Linked DNA regions of Mus musculus. The protein of the gene in region 1 interacts with the protein of each later gene in a pairwise test. Links are inferred from orthologs where the notes say so. Each region holds a gene or a part of one and is shown in the gene's direction. Other genes may lie near its edges.

Region 1 (3,650 bases):
CACTAAACAACATTTCCAGACCTTTGGGTCTGTGAAGATTAGGTATTGGTACATAGCTCAGGTTGACCTCAACCTTGTGGTCCTCTTGTCTCTGTTTCCCTAGTGCTAGGGTTACAATCGTGCCCAGTTGCTTGCTTAATCCTTAAGCTAGTAGATATCATTTGAATAATCAGGACCATGAAATAAACAACAACGTTCAAGGAAATTTTCAGGAACTTGAGTGTAGAGAGTTAGGGATGAGACACACTGAAGGAAAGTGGGGTGCTCAGACTTTAAGGTGGTGGGGAATCCCAGGATTTAGTGGTTTATCTTCTTCTTTTATTTTTAACCTCTGCTCTGCAATGAAACCACACCCTTCCTTCTTCCTGAAAGCAATGGTTAACTTCCTCCCCTGCTGCAGCATTACACTGCATGTAAAGGGGGAATGGGTGGAAGAAGATCCCAAGGTTATTGGATCTAGTTGTATTCTGTTGGGAGGGGCAAGACATGTGCTTTATATATGCAGTCTCATTAGGTTATGTCTTGGTGCTTAACATAGAACAATTTAACAACGTTTGAGAATGTGTTCTGTAGCTGTAACTTGTTAAAGACGTTGAAGACTTTTTTTGAGGGGCGTTGCTGAGTACTTTCCTTCGTATTTGGAAATGGAGAATTTACTCTCTTCATTCAAGAGCTTCCTGGAATGGGAGTTTACCCTGGTACCACAGCTTGAAGATTCCTAGAACGATAATAAAAGGAGGCTTTTTGTGGACACCCTCCCCCCTTCCGCCACCCCCCATTGTAGCCTTCCTAACTTACATTCTTAAAGCTTTCCAAAAGGTTTTCTGTAGGGAGCTTACCTGAGTCTGTGTTATTAAGCAAATGGTCTTTGAATGCTTCTAATGTGCCAAGTACTGTTCAAGATGTTAGGGATGTTAGTAGCCTTGAAACTACTGGACTCAAACCCTGTGTACTCATGGAACTTACATTCTCATGCTCCAGAAATCCCACCTGCCAGAATTCTAGGCCTGTAGAGGAAAGTGGTATCTAAGATTGTTATGGAGTGTTATGGTTCTTATGTGAGTACCGACAGAAGGATTTCAGTCCACAAATACCTTCTCAAAAGCCCTTTCATTTTTGAAAGAAAGATGCTGTCTTAGACAGAACAAAGGTCAGCCAGAACATGAATTGTTTTGTGGGCTCTGTTTCAGAACGGCCGGTTTGTGGGCGATGCTGACCTTGAGAGACAGAAATTTTCAGATCTGAAACTCAACGGACCCCAGGTAATTGTTTCCACTCAAGGTCTAGGGACTTCATTCACATCTTTGTACCTCTCCAGTCTTTATGATCATATTGCTATGCTGCAGTGCTCATCGTAAATATTTACTAGTTTTTTAATTTTGGAAATTAAAAAGGTACCATTTCAAATTATAGTTTTGCTGATTTTTTTTTTAATCATTGGCTTTTCTCATGGTATTCCTATCTCATTTGATCCTCCAAAAACTGCAATTGTTTTGAGGGAGAGCATAATTTTACATTGTAGAAAAGCTTACCTAAAATCTAACTGAGGAGATGAACGAATCTGATGAATAACAAAATCTTTGTTGGGCCTGATGGGGCAAATCTAATCTTAGTGTCTTAGGAGGCTGTGGCAGGAGGATCAAAAGTTTCAAGGCCTCCCTGGGAGATTGCTGGAACCTTATCCCAAAGTAAAAGTAGGAGGAGGCTCCAAATGTTTTCAGTGGCAGGTGGGGTGCTTGCCTAGCTACCCAAAACAAAGCAAAAACCTGGTATTTTTATTATTTTTTAAAATCCGTATCTTTACTGAGTAAGCTGTTCTTTTTGAAGTATTGCTCCAGTGTAAATATTACAGTTAACACAGTTAATATCCAAGTCGGGGACCAGAATGGGAGGTAACCTGCTGTCCCAGTCACTGCAATGTCAGCATGATTCTAGTTACCTTTTTAAACTTATATGTGTTAGATAGCTAGTACTAGGAAGTTTTATTTTCTGTCCTTTTACATGTGGTCCTAGTTGACCTGGAATTTGCTGTGTATATTAGGGTAGGCTTGAATTTACAGGTCTGCATGCATTTGCCTCTTGAGTGCTGGGATTAAAGGTGTACACTACCATGCCCTGCCTTTTTGTACAAGTATTAAAGATGACAACCATTTTTTATTAAAAACCCCTGAGGACAATGGGAGATGCATGAAGGCCTCCTGTCTCTAGAGGCACCTGTGTTTCTTACTAGAATAGATTGTTACTACATAGGTTCAGTTGTATTTTCACTCTTTTCTCTCTCATAGGATCACAACCACCTTCTGTACAGCACTATCCCCAGGATGCAGGAGCCAGGACAGATTGTGGAAACCTACACCGAGGAGGACCCTGAAGGAGCCATGTCTGTTGTTTCTGTGGAGACCACAGATGATGGGACCACTAGACGCACGGAGACCACAGTAAGCTGAGATTTTCGTGTCTTAGAATGATAGGTCCTCTGTGGTATTTTAGTAGAGAAGCTAACGAGTTAAGTGAGCCAAAGCCACTGTCTGCCAGAAAGAAAGTGATGCCTGGGCAAAGAGACAAGGTAAAAGAAGTTCAGGAAGTGGGAAGAGAGGAGGAGTATGACAGTTACAGTAGCTTCCGGAGAGGATGTTAGTGATTGGGCAGTTTTTTTCCATTGAGGGCTTCTGTAGGATGGAGAAGAGATATAGATGACACACACTTCTGTATAAAGACCTAGAGGGTAGGGTTTCTATCTTAGAGTACTGTGGAATTTAAACTTAGATTCTTTATTTCCTCAATAGTTGGTTTTCCTTTTCTTATTCCTTAAATGAAGGTCAAAAAAGTTGTGAAGACAATGACAACTCGGACAGTACAGCCTGTCCCCATGGGGCCAGACGGGCTGCCCGTGGACGCCTCAGCAGTCTCCAATAACTATATCCAGACCTTGGGCCGTGATTTTCGCAAGAATGGCAATGGGGGCCCTGGTCCCTATGTGGGGCAAGCGGGCACTGCCACTCTTCCTAGGAACTTCCACTATCCTCCAGATGGGTATGGCCGACACTATGAAGATGGTTATCCAGGTGGCAGTGACAACTACGGCAGTCTGTCCCGGGTGACCCGAATTGAGGAGCGGTATAGGCCCAGCATGGAAGGCTACCGGGCACCCAGTAGACAAGATGTCTATGGGCCCCAGCCCCAGGTTCGAGTAGGTGGAAGCAGTGTGGACCTGCATCGTTTTCATCCTGAGCCTTACGGGCTAGAGGATGACCAGCGCAGCATGGGCTATGATGACCTCGATTACGGCATGATGTCTGATTATGGTACTGCCCGTCGGACAGGAACACCCTCTGACCCTCGACGACGCCTCAGGTGGGCAGGAGTGGGGGAAGAGGTAGCTTTAGGGACTCCTAGAGGTCACTAAGCACCTGTCTGCTCTGAGGGCTCTTCCTCCTAGAGCTGATCTTTGCTGGCTGAAGATGCCATGCTGACTGTTTGGATGCGTAGTTGCCATGGAGGAAGATTTTACAATGGGATTGATTGGTCCTCACTCCCTTTCTTTCTTCCTTCCCTTTCTTTATTCTTGTTATTGTTGAGACAGGGTATCACTATTTAGCTCTGGCTGGTAGACCTTTTTTAAAGGACCCATTTTAGGCTTTGTGTGCTGT
Region 2 (3,750 bases), on another chromosome or scaffold:
TCGCCGTCACTAGAAAGAGAGGCCCATTGGACATGCAAACTTTATATGCCCCAGTACAGGGGAACGCCAGGGCCAAAAAGTGGGACTGGGTGGGTAGGGGAGTGGGGGGGTGTGTGTGGGACTTTTGGGCTAGCATTGGAAATGTAATTGAGGAAAATACATAATAAAAAATATTTTAAAAAATAATGATAAACAATACAAATATTATTGCCTTTCAAGGTAGGGCTCATTTGACACTATTTGGTTTGTTATTCCTTCTCTGTAGTTCTATACTTTTAAAATACTTTTATTCGTGTGTATGTACCTGCCGAGCCCTCTGAAATGAGAGAAACTTGTCTTATCTGCTTTTCTATCCCACAGGGCCTGGAGTATATTTGCTGCAGATCAAATGTGATCTCTATGTTAATAGATATGCAGTTAACAAGATATTGCATGCACCATTTAACATTCGATTAACAAGAGTTATCAGAACACAGGTTTCTTCTTAAAAGTAGACAGTGTAATGTGGTTTTCTTGTTATCCTACAATTTGAATTAGTATGAGTTAAATTTTAGTATGCAGATTGTATTCAAGGTGGCTTGTTATCCAAGCAACAGGCTAACAGGGCAGACTTCAAACATGCAAAAGAACTGGAATTTATACAACCTCTGAACATTTTTAAGCCCTCGGGACTTAAGGGAGTTTGAACAAACAAGACTAGCCTCCCTGCCACTCCTAACAGTGTCATCGGATCTTTGTCTGTCTCACGGAGCCGAGCTCTTAAGAGAATCACAGAACACTTAGAAAAATGCTTCGCAGTCACGGAAAGAGCCGAAGGCGGGCTTCGCGCTCTTCCGGACAACCCCGGGCTGCTCTCGGAAGAGGAAGGCGAGGAAGCCACGCCTCCCACGCTGCGCCCTCTGTCGGCGGAGCCCGGCGCCCGAGCCGCGTCCGTGGAAGCCGCTTTGACGTCGGCGGAAACTGGAGCGACATTTAAAGCGGCAGCAGCGGCGCTGCGGAGTCCGGCTGCTTGGGGTAGGACTCTGACCCTGCCTCGGCCCCGAGGAGGAGAAAGCGGCCGCCGCGGAGCAGGTGAGGAGTGGGCTGGGCACCGGGCCCGGGAGACGGAGCCCGCCTACGCCTTCCATGCCCTGGCCGCGCCTACGCTTGCGGCCGCCTCGCTTGAACCAGGAAGCAGCGGAGCCCGAGGCCTTGGCTCCTCTGCTCTTTCTTTGTGTGGGTCCCGGAGCTCTACCAAGAGAACCGGTAAGGCGCGGCGTGGTCCCCTTCTCTGTCCAGTGCCAGAGGCACCCGGTACCCTTGCATAAGCCTTAGGGCGTGGGGGACGCCGCCAAGTACCCACTTGGCTTTCTCCCTCTCCATTCGTCCGCTTTGGGGGGCGGGGAAGGGGGCTCTTTTCCCACCTCCCTACTAGTTTGATTGAGCTTTACTATGGGGCCCATCCTCCTCTTTAGATCCTTCTTTGGACACAACAATGCTTCCGGCTTCGCATGGCCCGCTACCCCCAACAGAGTACCCTTAGGAGCTAGGCCTACTTTCTTCAACACCCCTCAACCCCCCTGCCTTCGTTCTGCTGTTTGCATCGCCATCCCTGTTTGTGTTTTCACGTGAATTGACGTTTAAAAGCTCAGTTGCACCAAAGTTCAAAGGAAGAAGAGGGAGATGGTGGAAGAGGGAGAGATGGACAACAGCTGCAGGGAGCCCTGTAGTGTTGGTTTGTTTCCCCCCCTCTGGCCCGTGGCATTTTTCTCTTCCCTACTGTCACCAGCCTTCTAAACCAGCCAACAACCAAAGATGTGTTACACAATGCTATGAGATGCCTTTTCCGTAGGCAGGTCGCAAATCTCTGGGGAGGAAAGGTTTGAGACCCACTTGGGGTGATCCTGGGCTAACCCTGACCAGCTGGATACCTAATCAAAATGAAACCAGGTCCCAGTATCACCTAGACACCTACATTTGAATCATTCCCATGTTGGAAAAAAAAAACCCTTATTTTCCAATTATAAAAATCATGTGGCCATATACAGAAATCTCTCCACTTGAAAGTGGTTTCTGTTGAAACCTTCATGTTTTGGATTGTTGGCAGATTGTCTAAAGGTCACACTTTGTGATGAATGCCTTTGTGATTGCCTGTAATTCCTTGGTGCTGTTAAAATGGAGTAGCTAACATGGTTTTAATTTTTGGCTTTTAGACTTTTAAAGTTATGATGTTTTAAATACAGAGATACTCATGCCTCCCTTGTGTGTTTATATGTGAGCATGTGTGTGTGTGTGTGTGTGTGTGTGTGTGTGTGTTTGTGTGTGTGTGTGTAAGTACCAGGTGACAGTGACATTCTTTAGTAACTTATTAATAAAATAATTCTCTACCAAATGTACTTAGCAAGGAATGGTTAATATATAATATTTGTATAACATGTGTTTTGTGCTTATAAGTATTTTAATATGCATATGGGTCCTTTGCACTTCAGATGCACTCTGAACTCAATAGCTTCCGTGAAATGCCAAAAGAAAGTGTTTGGAGTGTCCCACAGCAGCAACAGTTGCCTGCTTCTCTGTTGTAACTAGTTACTGTTTTTGCTTGCACTGACTCCTTTGAAGAGAACTGGGTCTTCTACAAGTGAACATCATTCTTTACCAACAACATATGTTTGCAGTTTTTATGTAAATAGGCACCGAGGAGGGGCGCTCTCCCTTTCTGTTTGTTTCTTCACTAGAGTATGTGTTGACTTCACTTGGCACTCTGTCTAACGCTGCATCTCTACAAAGTGCAAGGCAGAATAGAAGGATAAGGGGTAGGTAGAAATAATGGGAAATTGTGAGGCGCTAATTGTCAGTGTCCGTAATTGGCCTTGGCTGTGAGGGTGAACTTTTGAATAGGATGTAACTAATAAGATTAGAGGTGAAGTTGAAGGGTATAAATTTCAGACTAAATATTAAACACACTAAACTTTTCTGGCATTTGAAGAAGTAATTCATATGCTTAATGGTGAAGATTTTTCTTAAAATGAAAAATTCTTATCTCTTGAGGAAAAATGAAGTAAAGTTGGGACTAGGAAAGTGAATTCTAAGTTTAAAAGGGTGATTAGTGGAAATGCATTTTCCTGAATTTCAAAGGAAGGCGACCAAGGAGATTATTGTTCAGATCTGCATGGCAATTTCAAAGTTTCTTGACATTTCTCAGAGTAAGTCCTAAGATTTGACACACAGTCAAAAGCTAGTGTATGTAAGAGCATGTTTAAAGGTCAAGATTTACACCAAATATTGACTAAAATGTAAACTGTTTACCATACCTATGCCTCACATTTCGAATAGTCAGGTACTTTGGGGTTTTTCCCTCCCTAATCCTCCCCTCTTTCCCTCTTCTCTTTCCCTTATAGGCATGGAGAGTAGAAAACTGATTTCTGCTACAGACATTCAGTACTCTGCCAGTCTGCTGAACTCCTTGAATGAACAGCGTGGCCATGGTCTCTTTTGTGATGTTACTGTTATTGTGGAAGACCGAAAATTCCGGGCCCATAGGAACATCCTTTCAGCCTCGAGTACATACTTCCATCAGCTCTTCTCAGTTGCTGGGCAAGTTGTTGAACTAAGCTTTATAAGAGCTGAGATTTTTGCAGAAATTCTGAACTATATCTACAGTTCCAAAGTTGTCCGTGTTAGAGCAGATTTGCTTGACGAGTTAATTAAATCAGGGCAGTTACTAGGCGTGAAATTTATAGCAGAGCTTGGTGTCCCACTGTCACAGGTTAA

The links. The genes of interacting proteins can lie anywhere in the genome.
Region 2: the proteins of Ctnnd1 (region 1) and Zbtb33 interact in binary tests that used the Homo sapiens proteins (3 or more experiments, as listed by UniProt). The link is inferred for Mus musculus from reciprocal best matches to the Homo sapiens genes CTNND1 and ZBTB33.

What each region holds. Positions count from the first base shown.
Region 1 is NC_000068.7:84,619,623-84,623,272, reverse strand, and holds part of Ctnnd1 (catenin delta-1), read left to right. Parts: intron 1-1,190; coding exon 1,191-1,262; intron 1,263-2,285; coding exon 2,286-2,438; intron 2,439-2,818; coding exon 2,819-3,354; intron 3,355-3,650. UniProt on the Homo sapiens protein: Key regulator of cell-cell adhesion that associates with and regulates the cell adhesion properties of both C-, E- and N-cadherins, being critical for their surface stability.
Region 2 is NC_000086.7:38,188,838-38,192,587, forward strand, and holds the start of Zbtb33 (transcriptional regulator Kaiso), read left to right. Parts: upstream 1-955; 5' UTR 956-1,245; intron 1,246-3,377; 5' UTR 3,378-3,379; coding exon 3,380-3,750. UniProt on the Homo sapiens protein: Transcriptional regulator with bimodal DNA-binding specificity.